Daphnia pulex: one gene and its partners. The main gene of each other region encodes a partner of the protein of the gene in region 2 in a complex. Links are inferred from orthologs where the notes say so. Each region holds a gene or a part of one and is shown on either strand. Other genes may lie near its edges. The genes, in order: pre-mRNA-splicing factor RBM22-like, pre-mRNA-processing factor 17-like, U5 small nuclear ribonucleoprotein 40 kDa protein-like and pre-mRNA-splicing factor SPF27-like.

Region 1 (5,484 bases), on a different chromosome or scaffold from region 2:
CTTTGCAGATTTATTATTTGTTGTACATTGCCATTTTTTAGGATCGCGTAGTTATGGAAAATACTTTAATTCGATTGGATTTGAGCGCCGCTACGGTGGACCCGGGTGGACCGTTTCACAGTAGTCCAGAAACTTCCAATAACGATAGATCAAGTTGTCTGCACAGCCCTTGGTCTCCTGTTTCTTTCCGGCGATGGCAAAGTGTACACAATCAGCTATAACGATCAAGAACCGGTCAGTTTAGTCTTGCTCAGGATGAATTTTGCTTTTTCATTCGTTAGTTTCAAAGGATTTTGAGTCACGGAGATCAAGTGGGCATTGATGTTGGGCATCACGGCTGCTCCTTACCTGTGTTGCAGCGTTTGAAGAACCACGTTATTGCTCTTGCAGGGGAAATCCAAATCTGGGTGCCGTACAAGATACAGCTCAAGCTTTTCTCCAATTGGCTTGGAGTCTTCTTTTGCCTACTGCTTCAGAAAGAGCTTCAGCATTGCCCACACTTTTGCAAAGAGACGACGAATATGATAGTTGTATGTCCACAGAGAGATGCATTTCATTGGCTTGCCATCATCTAAGTTCATTTCGATTTGTCTTTAAGGTGGTGGACGTTTCATGGCCGATTTATTGGTGATTTCCATGATGGCGGACGGAGGGTTACAAGCAGCTTTCGAAGCTTCGTTGCTAGGTAAACCAGATAAGACCAATTTTATTTGAGTAATTTTTATTGCATGTTTTCTATCAAAATTTTCAGCTGAAGCAAATGATCTTGAGATAAACGGCCGATGCAATAACGACGCGGTATTGAGAATAGGGGATGGCGCAAAAAAATAAAAAAAATAATAAAACATACTATAAATAAGAGAAAAAAAAAATATCTCCCAATCATACTATAGCTGGGAAAAATTTACTTTTCGAGTTATTCACGTTGAAAGTTTCGACTACGTGGCCCACCTCTAAAACGCAGGAGGTGGCCTATTTATCACGTGATTCTTGGTGCATTACCGCTGGTCAGTTTTAACCAATGAGAATAGATCACGTGATCGGGGGAACCAATAGAAGCGGGGAACATCTGTCATTTCGTCTGTGTCCGCAAGGTGTCGCGTCAAGCTTGTAGCAATCTAGTTTTTTTACCGCCATGTGGTAAAAGAATGAAAAGTTGTTTTCAGGGATACGCATTCTATTGGCTGTTGCCGGTCACGTGATCTGCTCCCATTGTAAAAACTGACCAGAGCTAAGCTAAAACTGGCAGAGCCAGGGAGTCGAAACTTTAAACGTGAATAACTCGTAAAGTAAATTTTTCCCAGCTATAGTTTGATTGGGAGATATTTTTTATTTATTTTTTCTCTTATTTTTAATATGTTTTATTATTTTTTTAATTTTTTGCGCCATCCCCTATTCAGACAGCATGGAGCCGGAGGAAACCGTTTACTTTCTAAAATTCTAAAAAATGAAGTAAGTTAACAGTTCATTATAAATTAAAATGTTCTCTTACCTTGCATGTAGCTATATGAGTTGGGGGCTGGCAATAACATATGTTCTTTTCTCTTGAAAGACCATAACCTTTCGGCATCCGATAATGGCTTATGCGGTGGCTACTCAAGCTGAAGATTGACGTAAAGGTCTGAAATTACAAAAAAAATTATAATTGAAATATGTAAGAGTGGATGATTAAATAGTTACCTTCCCACAATAATCACATGCGAGAATGGGTGAGTTGGGACAAACTTCAACGCTGGAACTAGGAATTTGACCCAATACTCCCTCAGCCTGATTGTCCTGAAATTTAAAACATGAACATGAATTAGAAAATCATACCCCAGGTAAAAGCATTGTGGATTGCAGATTGCAGGACTTCTTTCCCCTCGATCAACAATGCTATTCACCTAGGGAAGATTGCTGTTGGCAGCTGAGGGTTGGTGGGTGGCTCGACTTCCATGATTTAGAAGGAACTGTGTATATAAATCAAAGTTTACCAAACTTACCTCTAGCGTAGTCTTCTTCAGTTTTTTTACACACATAGACAGGTTCTTTAGTCGCCTGTTAAGCTTCAGGCTGGCCATGGTAGTTCCAATTTTCTTCAACTTCTGGATTTCTTTTGCTAAAGGTAAGTTTGAATGAGGTTAAGAATGAGTTATTACTTTAAAAAATAATGTTACTTACCATCTTTGTTTAGTTTATCCACCCTTTTCTCTATCTCGCCTAAATCCTGGGTAAAATTTGATTCCAGTATTTGGATTGGTATTGGTATTGGTAGGATTAGGTGCGTCTGCTATGTTTAGCAGACATCTGGTCTTCAACTAGATGACCTTCTTGCACCGACGAGATATTTTTTCTATTGATTTTTTTGAGCGATGGCGTGAGCAGTGTAAGTGTTGTATTGTATTGTGTGGAAGGAGCCCCAAGAAGGGGGATGGAAGTACCATCATTGTGTACGATTTGGCGCTAGTGCCTGCCTTTTTAGGAAGAGATCTGTATTGTATGTGTAGTGGTAGTGCCCGGGTATGGGAGCAACTATGCTCACCGGGAGAGTCGAACTCAGGTCTCAAGGTGCTCCCCGATCACCAAGCGACGCCTTATCCAGCTCACCTACCCGCCCCCCCCCCCCCCCAGTATTTGGATATCCATGTCAATTCAGAGTTCAGACGTCAAAAACAAACACTTAAGGAAAAAGGATTGTTTATCGATATTTAACTTTAAATCGATATCCATTGTTTATTTATAATATTTAATTACTTTATGTTATGGAAATTTTTTACAATTCTATTTAAATTATTACACACATTTATTAATTTAAATAAAAATTGTCATAAATTTCCATAAAATGAAGTAAGTAAACAATATATATCGATCCAAGTTAGTATCGATACCGAGACAGACCGATTTTAAAGTTATCGTGTGGTCCTTTGGGGCATCAGATTTTACGTTTCAAAATGGCGCTGTCGAAATCATCAAACACTTATGGACGTACAAGTTGGGAAGATTCGGTAATATTATACTATTTTGATAGTTTAAAATTGAGACTGATACTAACCAGTGAATTAATTTAATATAATTTAGGAGTTTCCAATTCTCTGCCCAACATGTCTAGGAGACAACCCTTACGTTCGAATGGTGAATGAAACTTAACTTAAAAATGCATACGTTAACTATGTTTTTCGTAATTCTTATTCGTAATTCGGTTCCCCTAATTTTTTTTAGATGAAGGAAAAATTTGGCAGTGAATGTAAGATTTGTGTCAGACCTTTCACAACCTTCAGATGGTGCCCTGGTGCCCGTATGCGCTTCAAGAAAACAGAAATTTGTCAGACTTGTGCAAAACTTAAAAATGTCTGCCAGACTTGCTTATTAGATCTTGAATATGGACTTCCCATTCAAGTCAGAGACCAAGCACTTAACATTAAAGACAATATTGCAAAATCTGATGTGAACAAAGAATATTTTATTCAAAATGCTGAGAAACAAGTAAGTTGAATGCTGCTTTGAAATGAATTTTTTACATTCATGCATTTTTATTGTTGACAGCTTTCTGCAACAGATCATGGTGTACCTGGAGCTGCTGGTGGTCCAGGAAAATCTCATCCTCCATCAGATCTTCTGATGAAATTGGCACGCACAGCACCATATTATCGTAGGAACTTGCCACACATTTGTTCTTTCTGGGTGAAAGGTGAATGCAAAAGAGGAGAAGAATGTCCTTACCGTCATGAAAAACCCACTGATCCAGATGATCCATTGGCTGATCAGAACATTAAAGATCGTTATTATGGCACCAATGATCCAGTGGCAGAAAAGCTCATGCGTCGGGCTGCCACTCTTCCTCGTTTGGATGCTCCTGAAGATAAGTCCATTACCACTTTGTATGTGGGTAACATTGGAGAGAAGATGTTGGAAAAAGAACTACGAGATCATTTTTATCAGTACGGTGAAATTCGATCCATCACTATCGTTTCACGACAGCAATGTGCTTTTGTAACATACGTCACCCGCTCAGCTGCAGAATTGGCTGCCGAAGGAACCTTTAACAAACTAATTATTCAGGTACGGACCTTTTACTTTCTGGTTTCAATTCCCCAAAACTTATTCAAATTATTTGAAAATTTAGAATCGGCGGCTTGTTATTCGTTGGGGTAAATCTCAAGGCAAACAGAATGTTCCTGGAACAACAAATACTGAAGCTGGAGCTCGTTTTGAACCTGTTCCGGGTCTTCCCCGAGCTTTGCCACATCCTGAAGAATTGGAGCATAACTTTTTCAATTTAGCTCCTACAAGCAATGCATACCCATCTCCTTATCCTCAATATCCACCATCCACATATCCATTGATCGCTCCACCACCACCAAACCCCACACCAAATCAGGCGGAACTTCCAGTATTTCTTGCCGAAAGTCAGCAGGGCATCCATTACCCTTCTCAGGATCCGACTCGTCTTGGCGCGATTAATAAGACACGACAAACATAACGACAGAAATTTTCAGAATTACGATATGCTTGTCTGTAATTTTTGTATTTCCGTTTTTGAAATTTAAACTCTCACGATAAAATGTCCTGTAATTTATTTTATTTAATATCTATAAGTTTTTTTGCATATAAGGTTTTGCGCTATAAATTGGCTGTTTTTGATGTGAAGTGCTGAATGATTTTTTCAGCCGACGATACACAACCATCGAAGTTCGAATGAGTAAATCCATCCCCACCAACTAGCAGAAGAGGTTCCTGGGAGATCTCAAGTACACCCGGCTGATCTTCATACGGTTTCGTTACCTTAAAAGCAAATAAAATAAAAAGGTAAAATTTGCAAGCACACAGAAATGAAAAAGGGTTAGTGAGAACCTGGGAGTATCTCCATTTATGGCATTTAAATGCCTTTGGTGAAGGTAGATCGGGGAAAGATCGTTTTAAAGCCTTAATCAAAATGTAAAATTCAAAATATAATCTCGGACATTTTAAAACAAAATGTTATAATGCATAATTTACCTCTTTTAGAATAGGTTCCGCTTCTGGGACGGTTAGATCAATATGTTGTACACCGAAGGGGACAGATGTGTGAAGAATCACAGATGTTGGGACGTCAGCTGGATTAACAATATGAGTTGGTAACGTTCGATTCATTCGGCTTGATTAAAATAAAACTTACGCCGATTTCTTCTTAAATTGTCGACTGCGATGAATCGAAATACAGGATCATCTTTTATGTAGGAGGCATCGAATGGTAAATTCAGTTCAGTGCCGTGATCATAATACAAGCTCATTACATAACGTGCACTGTACTTGACATTTTCCAATTTTGTCTTCATTTCATGGTTATTTTCTACAAATTAAAAAGTAAGATTACAGATAACTAAACTATATAAGTTATAGAAAAGATGAACGTTTACCAAGAATGTCTTTTACACTACCCCCCAATTGCAGAATTTGAGGGACAGGAATTGTTAAAATAACCACATCAAAATAGTTTTGCTTTCCTTGAAGAGTTGAAACACACCT
Region 2 (5,459 bases):
CGATACTCGTGAGTTACTCAATTACAATTCCTACCGCATTATCATATCATAGGTATCATAAATTATTTGAATTACTTCTAAGGTGGCGTAGAGTGGGATACCGTACTGAAAGATGTCGATGTGAATTCTATAAGCGGTTTATTGAAATTGTACCTTCGCCAGTTGCCCGAAGCGTTGTTTACCGATAGACTTTATCCGCATTTTCTTCAAGTAAATATTTAAAAAATTGATTAGTGAAAAGTCTGTTTATTGACGCATTGTTCAGGCATTCAGTACATTAGACGTTGCTTCAATGAATGCCGTCGAGGACATTACTATTACTCGCGATGTTGGGGTTAGAAATCTAGCCATACTATTCTCCTCATTGCCGCAATTGAATCAAACAGTCATAATGCACTTGCTAGACCATTTGATTTGGTAAGTTCGTTTTGTCAAATACATTTTAGACTGTAATGATACTTACCTTCATCATTATTTTTTTTTAGTGTCAACTGTAAAGAAGTGAAGAACAAAATGTCTCTCCATAACCTAGCTACTGTATTCGGCCCTACTTTGTTACGACCAGCTCCTACCGATACTCCGGACAGTCTTGATCAACTCGCAATGGGAACAATTGACGTGATGGCGCAAGCAGGAATTCTCCACTACTTTCTGCTTAGGAGAGCACGTCGACTTCCGATTCAGTATCCTCCCGTCTGATGTTATAAGGTTCAGCAGCTACTTAAAATATCGTGATTTGGGACCCGATTAGTAAGTGAACCAACTTAAAGATTCTCATTTTTTATATCGAGAAAAAAACAGGGACCAACTGTCCATTAAGTCAAAGAGATGCAATATTTTTTTTCTTTTTTTTTTAAATATTTTGTTAATTTTCGATTTCCCCCACAAAACATCAACGGGGCGTGTTACATTTTTAGATCTTGAACCAGAGCTAACCATTTTTATACAAAATGTATTGCCATAAAGAATAAGAGTCTTAGTTTAAATGTTTTTGTGTTTCATTGTGTCTTTTGTGAAAGAGGCTTAAGTACTTCTGGGCGTTTGTCTTGTGTTCGTTGACCTTTGATAGAATGTCAAGAAATTCTTCGGGCATTTAAACGGATAATTCAGTTACGAATGTAACTGTAGACAACGCATATCTTTTCTTTTTTTGTGTGTTACGTGAGTACAGTACAAGCATTTGTATGTGTTAAAAGATTTGTACTTCTCATAAATCATTCACGTGAAATCGGAGCGCCAAGCCTTTTAAATTTGTCCATTTTTCAAATTGATAAACCCTGAATGACACGTATCTCTAGTCCCAAAACTTAATTAATCCATCCCATCCAGCTGATGCAATTTTCGATGTCTCGTGAGGATGCCATAAGACGGAACTACAGACAGCTTGGTGAGCCTTCCACCTAGCCAGCACTCGAGTAGTTTTCCAGTCCCAAACGAAGACTTTGCCGTCAGCGTCGCCGGAAATCACGTAACTAAAAAAAAAAGAAAATAAACACAGTTAAGAGGGGACGAACAAGAATCAACAATATAAAGATACTGCAAGAACATACCTCATTTCAGGTGAGAAATCAAGACCACACGCATAACCAGCAACCATGTGTCCCTTGAAAGTTTTCTTTCTGTTGAGTTTGAAGCGGTTTAGTGCAGAGTAAATGACGATTTTGTTATCCATGCTTTGACATCCAAGCCATTTCAAATTTGGTGCCAGCGTTACAGCAGGCATGGAATGCATAGTGGGATCGGCGATGTATTTCATGTCCACAGGAATATCCCTGTAACAAAAAGGTGTCTCAATTTCTGTCTTTTTTTTTTAGAAGCTTCTTCGTTCTTTTAATCTTACCATTCCCAAACGCGTAAACTCTTGTCATCGGATGTAGACACAAATCTTCGATTCTCATCGACGAAAGTGATTGTGTTGACGGCACCTAAATGCCGATCGTATTCTTGAACAGCTTCACCGGTGCGAGTGTCCCACTATATTAATACAAAAAAAAAAGATTAAGATTTTGAAGTAGGAAATAATAGAATGACTAAAAACTTACGCAGACAATTTTCTTATCCGCCATTCCAGCAACGAAAAGATGTTGCTTATCTTCTTCAGGGTTGAATTTGACGCAGTAGGGCACCTTCTTATTCGTAAATCGAGAAATAACCTGTCCTGTTTCTGTATCCCATAATTTGATGTAACGATCATACGCTGCAGAAAGGAACTTATCGCCAGTGTTGTTGAAGCTTATGTCTCGCACAGCTTGCCGATGGCCAAAATAAGTGCGGACGCATCTTCTGTCCTTGTACACCTCCCAGATCTAACAAGTTAATGCGTTGAAATAACTAAGAATTTGAGGATAATTTAGGCTCACAAATGTACCTTGACTCTTCCATCCATGCTGCACGAAAGGAGCAGATGAGCAGTCTTAGGAAACCACCGAATCTGCGCCACTCCCTTATTGTGTCCTGTCCAGGCGTGGATCTGTTTTTTCGGGATGAAACATTTATTAGGTGGGGCGTCTGAACGTAAGTTGACGCCTATGTCATGAGGTGCGTGTAAAAAGTTTCGGCCTTGGTAGTCCACAGGGTCATCAACTGTAAATTTCGATTATTAATTAGTTTATGCACGGTCTTCATAATATTTATTAAATATTCCTTACTATGGAGAGTTGTTTTTTCTTCAATTGCTTTCTCCTCATACCTGGGTTTACCCCTTTTCTTCATTTTGGCTAAATATGCATCAAGTTCTTCCTTGTCAGCCTAAATTTTTAAAAATTATATGAATATTTCATTATACAAATTTAAATATTTCATTTACCTCTGAAGGCTTCGCACTTCGATTTTCATTTTCATATGGTGCCCATGGTCCTCTGTATCCTTCTAAATCAGCAGAATCATCATTCTTTTCTAATTTTCTCTTATTTGTAGCTCTGCTGGGATCTGGTCTATTGGGGTTCTCAAAGACTGTTCGGCCAGAGGAAGATTCAGCTGATTCAATGTTTCCAACATAACTATTTCCTTCATTTTGAGTTAGACCAACTGTTGGATCTAGGGCATAACCTGAAAACGTCAATGTTTAAATTATTTGAACGAAAGCAAATTAAAAAATATGTATACAAACCAAAACTGGTGAAAGTTTTTCTTTGGGCTTCAAATTGAAATTCACTCAAGTGGGCAGGTTCGACAAATCCAGCTACTGTATTTCTGTGTGCTCTTTGCTGCCCTGTTTTGAATGGACAATCTGGTCCGAGTGTAGGTGCATAGAGTTCTTCTGCTTTGGGATTATAAAGCAGTTCTTTGGATGTCGGATCCACATGTCGTAAAGGATCTAATTCTTCCTGTAAAAAGAATTTGTTTAATTTACCATTTCAACAATTAGTTCGAAAAAGAAAATCAAGGCTTACATTCGGTAAAACGTCGGGTGCTGCAACTACTGAAACGACCAACTTCTGGTTGACCAATTCAGTCGTATTAATGGGATTAAGATGGGAATCTTCGCCACTTCCACTGTCATCGTCACTACTTCCATAGTCACGTAATGCTGCCACTGAGGCCATTTGGAAATACTTGTAAAATAAGCTCAAAATCTCAAACTAAACTTGCTTATTAACCGCGAAAAGAAACAACCGTAGTCCAAAACGTCAAGAGCATGTTTGAGGCAGAGTTGCCGGAATGCTGGAGGAGTCAACAAAATAAGAAGGTAATATTTTTTTTTACATATGTGATAATATGAATTAATGAATCGCCAAAAATTTTTTCTACGTTTTATTTATATGATCGAAAAATTGGATTCTGAGATGATTTATTGCGACTTTTCTCTACTCTGTGGCACCTCTGGACGTGCAATACAGACATGTATAGACTAGCCTCAATATTGAATATACCGTTGTTCTTTTAGAATATTCGAATGGAATGATATTTCGAAAAAGGCTAATAACTAAAGGTGATCGATTGTCAGTTACAGAAATATTAAATTTATCGTAGGAAGTTTCTAGTTATAACTTAAAATTAAGAAGATGATGCGGGACTTTTAGGCTTTAGTCTTTACAGCCCGTCTCGCCGTCTCGGTACAGGTGGCGTTGTATAGGAAAGTGACAACCAATGCGTGGCCGGTCTTATTCCGTCTATTTCGACCTGCCAGCATAGCAGAGCTGAGAGCTTATCAGTTAGCAGTCTGCTTGCCTCTCTGATTCATTGCCACAACAGCATTTGGAATTAACAGAGAGTTGTGTTAGCATGTCAGTTGTAAGATAGGAATACAAAATACAGTCAGCAGATAAATCATGCTACTTCAATCCGGGTGATTTCAAGTAAACGGCGTAACCAGACCAATTAATTAAATTGGATGGAAATTAATAGATTTGTGTGTGTGCTTCGTCTAGTTCATTCTTGTGCAATTCTTGTTTTGTGGAGAAACTCGTTTCGAAATGGGTCTCGAGAACATTTTACCTACCTATCATAGGTCGCCAACTAAGTTGCCGATATCTCTAAACAAGTTGTGCCGTTCAAAGGAGAGAGTTTTACTGGGTTTTGTGTGTTTTGGGCTTGTAGTTGCTTGTTTTGGAACAGTTTTTTTTCTTCCAGAGTTACGCACTGGTATTGCATTGCCATCAATAAATAGTGTGTACAAGGTTTATGAACATGTACAAAAAGTTGGCCCTGAGTTCATATTGCAGTTACCTCCATTAGCAAAGGATGATGTACATGACGGCAAATCTCAACAACATCATGGCCAAATTGATAAGCCAGATTTCCATTTATTGGAAGATCAAGCCAGATTAAGAGCAAAGATTGAAACAGAAGAGAGACTAGAACTGGAGCAAAACCAGTTGAAAGTTCTACCCAAACCAATGATTCCTTCAAGTAAAAGTGAAGCTGGTGATTCTCGGTATCATACAAATTTTTATAATTGTGTAAATTAAAATAGCTAACAATATTTATTTTACTAGTTCAACCCTATCACATGGGTCATTCAAGAAAGAAAGTGATAAAAACATTGCTGACCAACCCAAAATTCGGCTACCTAAGGTTCAGGGTGGAGACGACGTTGAACCAGACATAAAAGCGAAAAGAGAAACAGTTCGTAAGGTAAAAAAAAAAATCAATAGTTTCCTTTACTTTTAATATTGCATGGACGTTGAACTTACAGTGTGTTGTTTTTATCGGAAAAATAATAATCTCTAGAATCGCTTCCGTATTCTGTTATTTTTTAACAAACATATCATTCGGATTTTAATTCCGGAGTATAATCTCATTAATCACATTGGATGAAAAAATGTAATCTTGTTTGTATAGTGTAAACCTTATAGGAATATGAAACAATTTCTAAGCTTAATATCTGAAGCTCTAACAATAGTCGGATTTCAGAAAGTTCTACAGCGGAACCATGAGAATTCTAAGATGTAGTATTGTAAAAGTTTTCCCCTCTAATCGGTATCCTTTTTTTTAACTTAGATGATGAAACACGCATG
Region 3 (5,392 bases), on a different chromosome or scaffold from region 2:
TTCCACCCCGAGGGCTGAAACAATAAACCATCAAACTCAATTTCAAAAGAGAAACGAATCGCACAAACAAAACGCCGAGCACTGCTGTTCCCTCTGAAACAACAACAAGAAAGAGGGAGACAGAGTCGACTCATCGATAGATATTTCTCCTCTTACCCGGTTTCAGGGGACCTAATCCGGAAGCTTCATCCGCCAGCTGGATGTCGTCGTCACCTTCGTCGTCAATGTACAAGTCGTCGAGAGCTTTCAGATTGAGCCCACTCACTTGCTGCTGCTGCCATACGGAATCGAGAAGAAGAAGAAGATTACGTGTCGTTGTATAATTCAGTTCTTCTTAAATGTTAGTGGGCGTGGGGGGTTCTAGAAACTGAGGGAATTTCAATTGGGCGGGGGATGAACATGAGACGCAACGAGTCAAATGAATAAATCATCAAGACTTAATCCTTGACTGGTACGTAGCTTCTTTTGTTTTGTTTAGTTTTTCGCAAGGAAAAAGCCTTGAGACCTCCAATGGCCTAGATTACTACTAGCAAAGGACATTCATTCATGTTCAAACTTCAGGTTAACCTTAGAGGTACGACCAAGGTCGGCACATGCAAATTTTCTCGTTTCTCTCCTATTTGAGAATGAAAAACAGTTACATAAAAGAGCTGCAATTTCTCATATATCTGCCAAAATTGTTAAAAGGTTCTTTTTCTTTTGGAAAAAATAAAACCGTTCGGGAAAATCGAGCGCAGAGGAATGTCTTGATTTGAACATCAGACGCCATATTTCCTTAAGGGGCTCATGGGAGACCCTCTCGATGGTGCTGATGCTAATGTCATCAACAGAACTCGAGAGACAAACACAAACAACTTAGCTGAAATTTTTTAAAACTACAAGAAAACAAAACTTCCACATCATTAAGTAATCTCTCTCTCTCTCCACAAAACGTTAGTTTAAAAAGAACGACAAAATAAAACAAAACCCAACAAAATGTGTCGTGACAAAATTGTGAGCCTGGAATCAAGGGTGTGGGAGTTTTATGATAGTCCAGATGTGTGAAAAGATCAATAAAAAGTGGTGGCATTCTTACCTTGGCAACCGATGATGCACTGTTGATGTTACTGCTAACCGAATGTGCAGCCAAAAAGGCGATGAAAATCGCCATATGTATTCTGGGATTCATTTTTGAGAGAATTTCCTGAGCGTTTGAGAGTCTGCCTTACGTGTGTGTGAGAGGGTGGAGAGAGAGATTTTTTCAGTATTATTTATTTTAAGAGCCGGATATCCGTTTCTAAAGTTTTCTTCCAAGATTTTTGTGTTATTTCAATACAAAAGTGGAGAACGTGGTCGAATAAATTAGGATAGTTGCAGCCTTTTGTCCGTTTTTCTAATTTTCTAAACACAGACGGTGATGCTCTCAGGTCAGGCTGGGCATTTTCTTTCTTTCTTTCACACTTCTTCTCTCTCACAGGCGCGCACTCAACCACACAGTTCACTGGTGAAGCCAAAACGATGGCCGAGTTTTACTCGTCGATTCGGGGACGGAATGTTAAATATCAACAGAACAAAAAGAGTTGCCGGGAATTGGCGTGATTTCGAGACACTTCTCGATGTAACCAAAGGCCGAAATGGATTAAAAGATCCCAACTCACGCCCAGATCATCAAACACACCAGCCGAGAGCCGCCATTAAACTGAAGGGACTGGATTTTTCTTTGTGTCCCTCCGCCGCCATTGGGTACCAAAAACTCTGCCATCTGGCGGCAGTTTTCAGCTCCTCCCCACTTTCTCCTCCAACAACATAGACGTGGAAATTATACGGACGAATGTAAACCACACACACGGGAAAGAAAAGGAAAAACAAAAATCAATCTCATCATTTCCTCATCATGTTGGGAAAAAATGAATGACTCAATTTAGGTCATGGATTCAGCGCTCAAAATATCTTCATCTCGAGAGACTAGTTTTGTTCTTTCCGACGCACCAAATTTCGTTGGAATGGAAAAGAAATCCCAGACATAGCGACTATCACATATACTGGTGAAGTCGTTTTCTTGCGAGTGTTAAAAAACTAGAAGGTCCTCTGTTCTATAGTCACACGGACACACAAAACTTAAGAAAATATCGAGGGGAGAGATTTAATGTTTGTTGTTTCTCCCTCCTTCTTCTAACACTCCTTTTCTTTTTTTACGATCGTGGGTTCGCCTGTTTTCCGGCCCCAATAATACCCATTGTTTTCCAAGACTGCGCGGGTGTTCATGAAATTCCTCGAGTTACAACTTCTTTTTCCCAAAAAAAGAAAGAGAAAAAGGGTTCGGAAATTCTTGAGCGATATACCACTGTGACAGCTTTTCCCCATCTCAATTTTTATTCTTTTATTATACCAAAGTCTTTCCAAGTTTCCAACAAGATTTGGAAAAGGCGACCACTATAAAATATAGATCTAGCAAGAAAAGGCTTCTGCTCCGTCAGTAGTAGTTGTCAAAACTTTTTCACTTTTTTTTTCTACAACTTGAAAATTTTCTTAAAAGTCTAGAAGCCGGAGCAATGGCGCTTGTGTCAGTAAACAATCCCAGCAATAATGAATTGGTGTCGGCCACCTCGGGTCAAGTGGCCCTGCAACAGGTTTGATTTATTTGTGTTTTATTTATAAACTTTTAAATGAGCCGAATGCATCACAAAAGAGAATTGCATCCAACCACATGCTGACCAGCTTGTGTGTTTTGTTGTTGTAGATGCTATGATGAATTCAAATGTGATATTGACTTTTTCAATAAACAGGGACCAGCAAGAACGTCTAGCCTCATGGCTCCTATAATGCTCCTGGCAGGACATCCTGGAGATATCTTTAGCCTGAAGTTCCATCCTGACGGCCAGTTTTTGGTTTCCACCGGGTTCGACAGACAAATATGTAAGCATCATATATACATTTGAGCATCTCTACTGTTTGGATAATCAACCTCTTGTTCAACAGTTTTGTGGAATGTTTATGGAGAGTGTGAAAACTTTGCTGTGTTGTCTGGTCACACCGGAGCAGTAATGGATCTTCAGCTGTCTACCGATGGTGATACCATTTACACTGCTAGTACAGACAAAACCATTTGTTTGTGGGACACCAGAACAGGAGCTAAAATCAAGAAACTGAAAGGTATACCATTGTCACTGTCCCATTATTTAGCAATTGAACCCAACAACAATTTGTTTCAACAGGCCACTCCTCCTTTGTCAATGCTATTCATCCTGCACGAAGAGGACCTCCTCTTCTCTGCAGCGCCTCAGATGACTGCAACATCAAAGTCTGGGATCCAAGAAAAAGAACCGAGACAGTATCATTAGATAATTCTTACCAAGCGACTTCCGTCACCTTCAACGATACCGCCGAACAAGTCATTTCCGCAGGCATCGACAACGATGTTAAGGTGAGTTCGCAAAATTCAATTGTTGTAATAGAGAGAGAGAGAGAGAGAAGAAAAACTATGGGACCAATTTCCAAGAATTTGAATTAAGCCACCGATTCGGCGAACTTCATATTCCGTGTGAGTGGGAGAAAGTCACAAACTTGAGTATTTTTCTTACAGAATTGATTAAAGTTCTCAGTATTTTTACTTGATGGCTTCAAGAGAATAGTTTGGCAAAAAAGGAAGGACCTGCAGTCATATTCTGTCTTTGTTGTAAAAACTAAAGTTTCGACATTGTTGATTGTTTTCTACTTAATATTGAACCATATTCGTGCAAGTTCTGTCTTACCCTATCATCGAGTTCATTTTCCTTGAAGAGTGCAAGGGATTTCAACTTTGGTATTCTGATTATCGCGTGTCTCACCTTGATAAGGTCACCAAGTCCTTCCTTACTTCCAGGGCCCCTTCTCTTTGATATATGAATGGGTTCACTAATGTAAGCTCGTAGGCGAAGTTTTTAAAATTAATTCAAGTAATTTCAGCAGTAGGGTCTCGTCAAATGTCCTAATTCCATCCTAATTACTGAAGATGCGCATTTTTGTGTTTTGTCAGTTTGAGGCAAATGTGAAACGCTGGAAGCGGATTCTGATACTTCTTTGCTTGTCAGATGGTTGCACATTATCGATCAAAACTTTTCCCCGTAATACTTATGACAATTTTGCGACATCTTTAGGAAGAATTTACTCTGAAAAATAGATAATTTTCACTTTTTATCGATTATCTTTTCGTTCGAACTAAACCCATGTTAAGTTTTCTCCTTTTTTTGGAAGATATTCATTTTAAAACCTGAAAAGTAGTTTTGCATTTGCGATATTTCAACTGGTCCTGGCCTTGAGCTATTCACGTGAATATGGAGAGATAGGTAAATCATACACTTTCCTTTTTAGGTCTGGGACTTGAGAAAAAATGCTCTCCTCTACTCCTTGAAGGGCCATTCCGACACTGTGACCGGCTTGACTCTCAGTCCTGATGGATCTTACGTGTTGTCAAACTCGATGGACAACTCTTTACGTGTCTGGGATGTACGACCTTTCGCTCCTCAAGAACGTTGTATCAAAATGATGGTTGGCCATGCTCACAACTTTGAAAAGGTATATACAATGCCGGCGAATTTCTCAATCCATTCTAATACCTTGTGTAATGTTATAGAATTTACTTCGCTGCTCATGGTCACCTGACGGAACCAAAGTTTCAGCGGGATCTGCCGACCGATTCGTTTACATTTGGGACACTACATCTCGCCGCATCATTTACAAATTACCTGGTCACAACGGAAGTGTCAATGACGTTGTATTTCATCCTAAGGAACCTATTGGTAATTTACGCAGCAAATCAACATCAAGGACATCAATTAATTTCAGATTTTTTATTTTGAATGAAACATAGTTGCATCCGGTGCCAGTGACAAGCTGATTTACCTAGGCGAAATTGACGCTTAATTAGGAAAGGTTATAATTTTTTTCAGTTGAAACGATGGCAAGGATCGAGGACGAATAAACAAATAATTCTTTTACGCATATTTACAAAATTGCATTTAAATTAATCGACATTTAAAGGCCAAAAAAAACTTAATTGGATTGTTTGCTCGTTCTCGAGTCCATTTAGAGATCATCACGTTAAGAAAATGCAATTATGAATGGAAAAACTAGGAAGAAAAGGTTAGCTAGGTACGAATAATGTTAACGGCACGTGAGAAAAATCAATGGATGAAGTGCCATCCTCTGATCAAGTGATGACTTGCGAGAAGGTGTTTCAAAAGTGTCTGAGTGCTATTGTTCTGTCACGTCTTCGCAGTGACAAAGATAGCGGAAGTGTCCTCCTTAGCGCTTTAGAGAATTCAGTACTCCTGAGAATGTAGAGCAAAGGGCTAATGACTGCGTGCAACAGATGCAGTTCACGTACGTATGGAATGAGTGCCGTGAATGTTGAATCGCTGCATTGGCGTGGATT
Region 4 (4,280 bases), on a different chromosome or scaffold from region 2:
TCCCCTGGAGTCAGTTTTGGTTGATCCTTTGCCTAAAGAAGTCTTACCTTTGGCTGAAGCTCGGAAAATTGATCTAGAGATGGCCGTCATCATGCAGGTGAACATCTGCTTTTGTATAAATGAGTAAAAATAGATTTAATCCTATCGTTTCTCTAGGAATTGATGGCCATGAGAGAAGAACGTTCACGACTTCGAACTCAGGTTTATATTCTTGAAAAAGAGCGGGCTACTCATGAAGCCCAACAACAAGCAACTGCCGCTCAACTTCGAAGTCTTAACACAGGCGTAGGTTTTTTGGATATTGAAATGGAGAATGATTTAGGTTACTTAAACGCACTTTTCACTGATAGGGATCTAACACAGATGCATCAGGCGAAAAGCCTCTGTCCTCAATTGAAGGAGCTGATGGAGACGAATTAACAGTTCGAGAAAAGCGACTCCAATTGAAAATCCAAGAGTTGACGGGAGCCCTTGAACGCGTCACTTCAAGTGCAGAAATCCGTAGTCAGCAGTCGGCTGAACTAGTTAGCGATGTCAAGAAAGCCAACGCGTAAGATATCTTTAAATGCTTAACTTACAATATGTTACGTTTTCAACAAATATGTAATATCCGTAAACTAATTTTCAGGACGTTGGTCCAACTTCTTGAGAGGACTAAGAAAAAGTACCAATCTCGATTAAAAAGACTAGAGCAGCAAATGGTCAACATGTCGGAAAGACATGCAATGCAGGTATATAGAGAAAAATTACGAGTTATCAAGTGTGACCGACATAAAAATGTCATGTGATTATCAGGTTCGCGTCCTAAAGCAACGAGTTATGGTGCTGGAAGATGAGTCTTCCGTCCGCCCTTTACCTTTAAGTTCAGCCCCAAGTGAGACTTCCCTATGATCTTACCCTTTTTTTTACCCTTCTCTGAATTACGCTTTGCTGTACTCATACGCTTCTTCTCGTTTTCAATTGTGTGATATATAAAATCAGAACGTGCTACTTACCATTTATAAGACAAGCTAATCTGAAAGTGCATGACTTTATACTATTTTTTTGTTTTGTTCCCTTACAACCAAATCTTTTTGGTTGTCACTTACTGAAAATCTCGGATGAATCAATTTCCTGTTGCAGTGTATTATCCGAATTCGATAAAGTAGGTTTACATTGAATTTCATTCATTAAGTGAAGCTAACTGTCTCTCAATTTCAGCACACGCGAGTTCGATTTCGTAGTTTTTAGTGATCAAACCAAACCAAGTGGCTTCCAAATGTTTCATTTTGTCTCCAACCTCTGTCTGATCTTTTTTTCTAGCCCAATTGACATCTTGGATTTGTTTCCTGTAAAGAAAAATATAATAGTGTATTTTGCAATATGGTGTCTACTTTACTGAAATCATACTTAAATTCCTGAAGATGCTTCTGAGATTGTTGGATCATCTGGGACAATACAGTGTTATAAATTCTCCATGATTCACAACCATACTCTGACATTAATTCCAAGTTCAAAATCCTGTTTTTTAATTGAAATTTTTTTAAATTTATGGTTGCTGTAAAATTTTTTTTTAGAAAACAAACCTTGTTGTTTGATGTTCTAATTGAGCCATTGAATTATCAACACACTCTATCCATGCTTGAAGATCATTTAGACGACCAGCAGATGGGGGTGGGAGTTCATATCGTTTCATGCTCAAAACATCCATTGGTTTCTTTTGAGACAGTCGCTCAAATTCAGTCTTCATCAAAGGAGTCTATGAACATGATAATTTCCATAATTATTACACACTCCTATCATTACTTCCATGCAGACAGTTCTTACTTCAAATGCTGACAGCTCAAGTGGAGGAAGATGTTCTAGGTAGTTTTTGGTTGGTCTATATCTTCGTGTCTCTTCATCAACCAATGCAAGTGCCTGATAGAAAGAAATTACTCTCATTAAACAACTATTGGACAAGAGCGAGAGTTCTCAGCAACATACAGTACTATGGTCTAGTACAATAATGTATTGATGTTAGAGATGACTAGGCTAACACAAGAATCTCCAAGCCTCAATTCGAAGCGATTCAAATATTTCAAAGTTTGCAATGTATAAGTTTTGCTTACCGCTTCTCGTAGAGTTGGATCTCCATATTCTTGGTCAACGTATGGTAAATCGTCAACCAAAATCCTTTCGTTCGGCGTGGAAATGTTTGTTGACGGAATCGGCATTTTGTGATTTGTGTCAAACTGTCTGTTGTCAGCAAGATTGTCAGATTTTCTGCTGGATTAATAAATATGAGCCACAGTTTTAGTAATTGATTTTCATTATGTCTAATTATTCATAAACTTACTTTTTGATAATGAATAAAGATCATTAACTTCCTTTAAATGAATAAAATATGAAAATAAATTGGTATATTAAATTTTATTCAATAATATTTTGGACACCGTTGCATTGTGAAACAAATAAAACAATATTAAAAATTTTATAACTAATCACTCCATTAAAATGTTTGAAATCATCAATTGAAACTCCATAATTTTTGTTATTAAACAGTGGATCAGTTCAGTGAATAATCTGTAATTTTTCAAGTAAATAATCAAGTAAAAAACGGAACGTAGAGGGCGGCAATTCTCAAAGTATGCCGGCAACATTGTAGACTTCCTCTTTGTCGCCATTACTGTGGGTCTCTTTCATTCGCCTTTTTACCCGGTCAGGACTATCTACCAAGATGGTAAGCATGAGGTTCTCCAAACATTTTACTAGTTTTTACATACATTAATTTACGAATAGTAAGTAAAAAGGTTAACGGGAGAAACGTGTTTTAAGAAAATTCTTGCGTGCGTATATTTTTCTAAGCCATTTTCTTGTTAATCTATGGCGAAAGTTTGGGAGTAAAATGTTACCCACAGCGTGGTTTCGTCCTCGTGTCAAATGGGCTCTTGCTGTTTTTCTATGTTAATTCAACGTCGTTCTTGGTTTATTGTTATGTTTTGGTTAATTGGTACATCTAGTTCAAAGTTTGTGTAAATTCAAGTGTTGTCTCTTGAAAATCTTAAATCTAATTTGTTTATCCATTTTGTTTTACAGAGTAAGGTGGTCGCGAGGCCGTTGATTACCGTTTACAATGAGAAGGCTGAGGCCTCTGGAACCAGCATCCAGCTCCCTGCAATCTTCAGGGCTCCCATTAGGCCAGACATTGTCAGCTTTGTTCAACAACAAATGTCAATGAATCGTCGTCACCCTTATTGTGTCAGCGAGAAAGCAGGTAACTTGTATGCCAATTATATGGCACACAGCATTGAAATGTAGGAGTAATTGTACGTCAGACTCTTCTTGTGCAGTGTGCAACACTAAAGCGAGTCCCTGAGGCCTTTCTCGCTTTGTTTTCTTAAAGTGAGGGGTTGGGCAACCGGACAAACTTCATACACACATGTAATGGTGTGATTGTTAATCTTCTTCTTTCCTATTACAGGTCATCAGACAAGTGCTGAATCATGGGGTACTGGTCGTGCTGTGGCTCGTATTCCCCGTGTCCGAGGAGGTGGTACCCATCGCTCCGGTCAGGGTGCCTATGGTAACATGTGTCGTGGTGGACGTATGTTTGCCCCCACCAAGATCTGGCGCCGTTGGCATCGCAAGATCAACGTTAACCAGAAACGTTTTGCATTGTGCTCGGCCGTCGCTGCTTCGGGTATTCCGTCTTTGGTGATGTCCAAAGGTAAATATGAGCCAAGATCATCATTGCACGGTTCCATACTAGCATGATGAATATGTGTTTCCTGTGTTTCTGACAAGCATGAAGTCATACCATGAGTCCCTGATCCATACAATGATAGTAGTAAATAAGGTCATATTGAATTAGAACTAAAATGTTTTTACATTCAGGTCACTTGATCAATGATGTCCCGGAGATGCCTTTGGTTGTGTCGGACAAGGTTCAAGAATACAAAAAAACCAAACAGGCCGTCGTGTTGTTGCGCCGTCTTCGCGCATGGACTGATGTCCAGAAGGTTTGTTTCTAGATATTTATGTATAATTATCACGGGAAAATGATGAGTTGCTTCTTGGTCTGTGTTTATGAGTAAATGATTTCACCTTAGAGCTCTGAACAAAATCTGAGTCATGAATGATTTTATGTGTGAACACCGTCTAATTAATCTGATTTCTTACAGGTTTACAAGACCAGGCGTTTCCGCGCAGGTAAGGGTAAGATGCGCAACCGTCGCCGTACCAGCAAATTGGGTCCACTGGTCATCTATGGCAGAGATCAGGGTTTGACCAAGGCTTTCCGTAACATCCCCGGAGTTTCT

What was found.
Region 1: pre-mRNA-processing factor 17-like (region 2) and pre-mRNA-splicing factor RBM22-like share a complex: the UniProt entries of both Homo sapiens proteins name them as parts of the postcatalytic spliceosome P complex. The link is inferred for Daphnia pulex from reciprocal best matches to the Homo sapiens genes CDC40 and RBM22.
Region 3: pre-mRNA-processing factor 17-like (region 2) and U5 small nuclear ribonucleoprotein 40 kDa protein-like share a complex: the UniProt entries of both Homo sapiens proteins name them as parts of the postcatalytic spliceosome P complex. The link is inferred for Daphnia pulex from reciprocal best matches to the Homo sapiens genes CDC40 and SNRNP40.
Region 4: pre-mRNA-processing factor 17-like (region 2) and pre-mRNA-splicing factor SPF27-like share a complex: the UniProt entries of both Homo sapiens proteins name them as parts of the postcatalytic spliceosome P complex. The link is inferred for Daphnia pulex from reciprocal best matches to the Homo sapiens genes CDC40 and BCAS2.

The regions. Positions count from the first base shown.
Region 1 is NC_060024.1:7,162,497-7,167,980, forward strand, and holds pre-mRNA-splicing factor RBM22-like, read left to right. Parts: upstream 1-2,060; 5' UTR 2,061-2,104; intron 2,105-2,160; exon of another isoform or gene 2,161-2,180; intron 2,181-2,836; exon of another isoform or gene 2,837-2,854; 5' UTR 2,855-2,930; coding exon 2,931-2,984; intron 2,985-3,057; coding exon 3,058-3,111; intron 3,112-3,198; coding exon 3,199-3,462; intron 3,463-3,522; coding exon 3,523-4,038; intron 4,039-4,102; coding exon 4,103-4,459; 3' UTR 4,460-4,541; downstream 4,542-5,484. Other genes in the region: uncharacterized protein LOC124200919, read left to right, coding at 42-203, 282-530, 599-631; uncharacterized protein LOC124200920, read right to left, coding at 655-681, 1,493-1,621, 1,681-1,776, 1,983-2,060; renalase-like, read right to left, coding at 4,600-4,761, 4,831-4,902, 4,975-5,072, 5,135-5,308, 5,376-5,482. UniProt on the Homo sapiens protein: Required for pre-mRNA splicing as component of the activated spliceosome. Involved in the first step of pre-mRNA splicing.
Region 2 is NC_060023.1:9,544,595-9,550,053, forward strand, and holds pre-mRNA-processing factor 17-like, read right to left. Parts: upstream 3,655-5,459; 5' UTR 3,546-3,654; coding exon 3,393-3,545; intron 3,327-3,392; coding exon 3,110-3,326; intron 3,049-3,109; coding exon 2,807-3,048; intron 2,749-2,806; coding exon 2,649-2,748; intron 2,584-2,648; coding exon 2,369-2,583; intron 2,307-2,368; coding exon 2,043-2,306; intron 1,975-2,042; coding exon 1,841-1,974; intron 1,773-1,840; coding exon 1,551-1,772; intron 1,473-1,550; coding exon 1,295-1,472; 3' UTR 937-1,294; downstream 1-936. Other genes in the region: active breakpoint cluster region-related protein-like, read left to right, coding at 1-8, 83-210, 266-417, 486-699; mannosyl-oligosaccharide 1,2-alpha-mannosidase IA-like, read left to right, coding at 4,416-4,876, 4,938-5,076, 5,443-5,459. UniProt on the Homo sapiens protein: Required for pre-mRNA splicing as component of the activated spliceosome. Plays an important role in embryonic brain development; this function does not require proline isomerization.
Region 3 is NC_060027.1:3,204,064-3,209,455, reverse strand, and holds U5 small nuclear ribonucleoprotein 40 kDa protein-like, read left to right. Parts: upstream 1-2,188; 5' UTR 2,189-2,531; coding exon 2,532-2,609; intron 2,610-2,765; coding exon 2,766-2,895; intron 2,896-2,958; coding exon 2,959-3,132; intron 3,133-3,194; coding exon 3,195-3,403; intron 3,404-4,329; coding exon 4,330-4,533; intron 4,534-4,591; coding exon 4,592-4,757; intron 4,758-4,828; coding exon 4,829-4,881; 3' UTR 4,882-4,961; downstream 4,962-5,392. Other genes in the region: syndecan-like, read right to left, coding at 1-14, 157-277, 1,076-1,168. UniProt on the Homo sapiens protein: Required for pre-mRNA splicing as component of the activated spliceosome. Component of the U5 small nuclear ribonucleoprotein (snRNP) complex and the U4/U6-U5 tri-snRNP complex, building blocks of the spliceosome.
Region 4 is NC_060018.1:4,113,503-4,117,782, forward strand, and holds pre-mRNA-splicing factor SPF27-like, read right to left. Parts: upstream 2,379-4,280; 5' UTR 2,318-2,378; intron 2,248-2,317; 5' UTR 2,196-2,247; coding exon 2,091-2,195; intron 1,900-2,090; coding exon 1,807-1,899; intron 1,739-1,806; coding exon 1,566-1,738; intron 1,501-1,565; coding exon 1,390-1,500; intron 1,329-1,389; coding exon 1,163-1,328; 3' UTR 1,106-1,162; downstream 1-1,105. Other genes in the region: uncharacterized protein LOC124189006, read left to right, coding at 1-97, 157-285, 351-550, 629-731, 796-874, 2,103-2,134, 3,058-3,235, 3,443-3,688 and 2 more. UniProt on the Homo sapiens protein: Required for pre-mRNA splicing as component of the activated spliceosome. Component of the PRP19-CDC5L complex that forms an integral part of the spliceosome and is required for activating pre-mRNA splicing.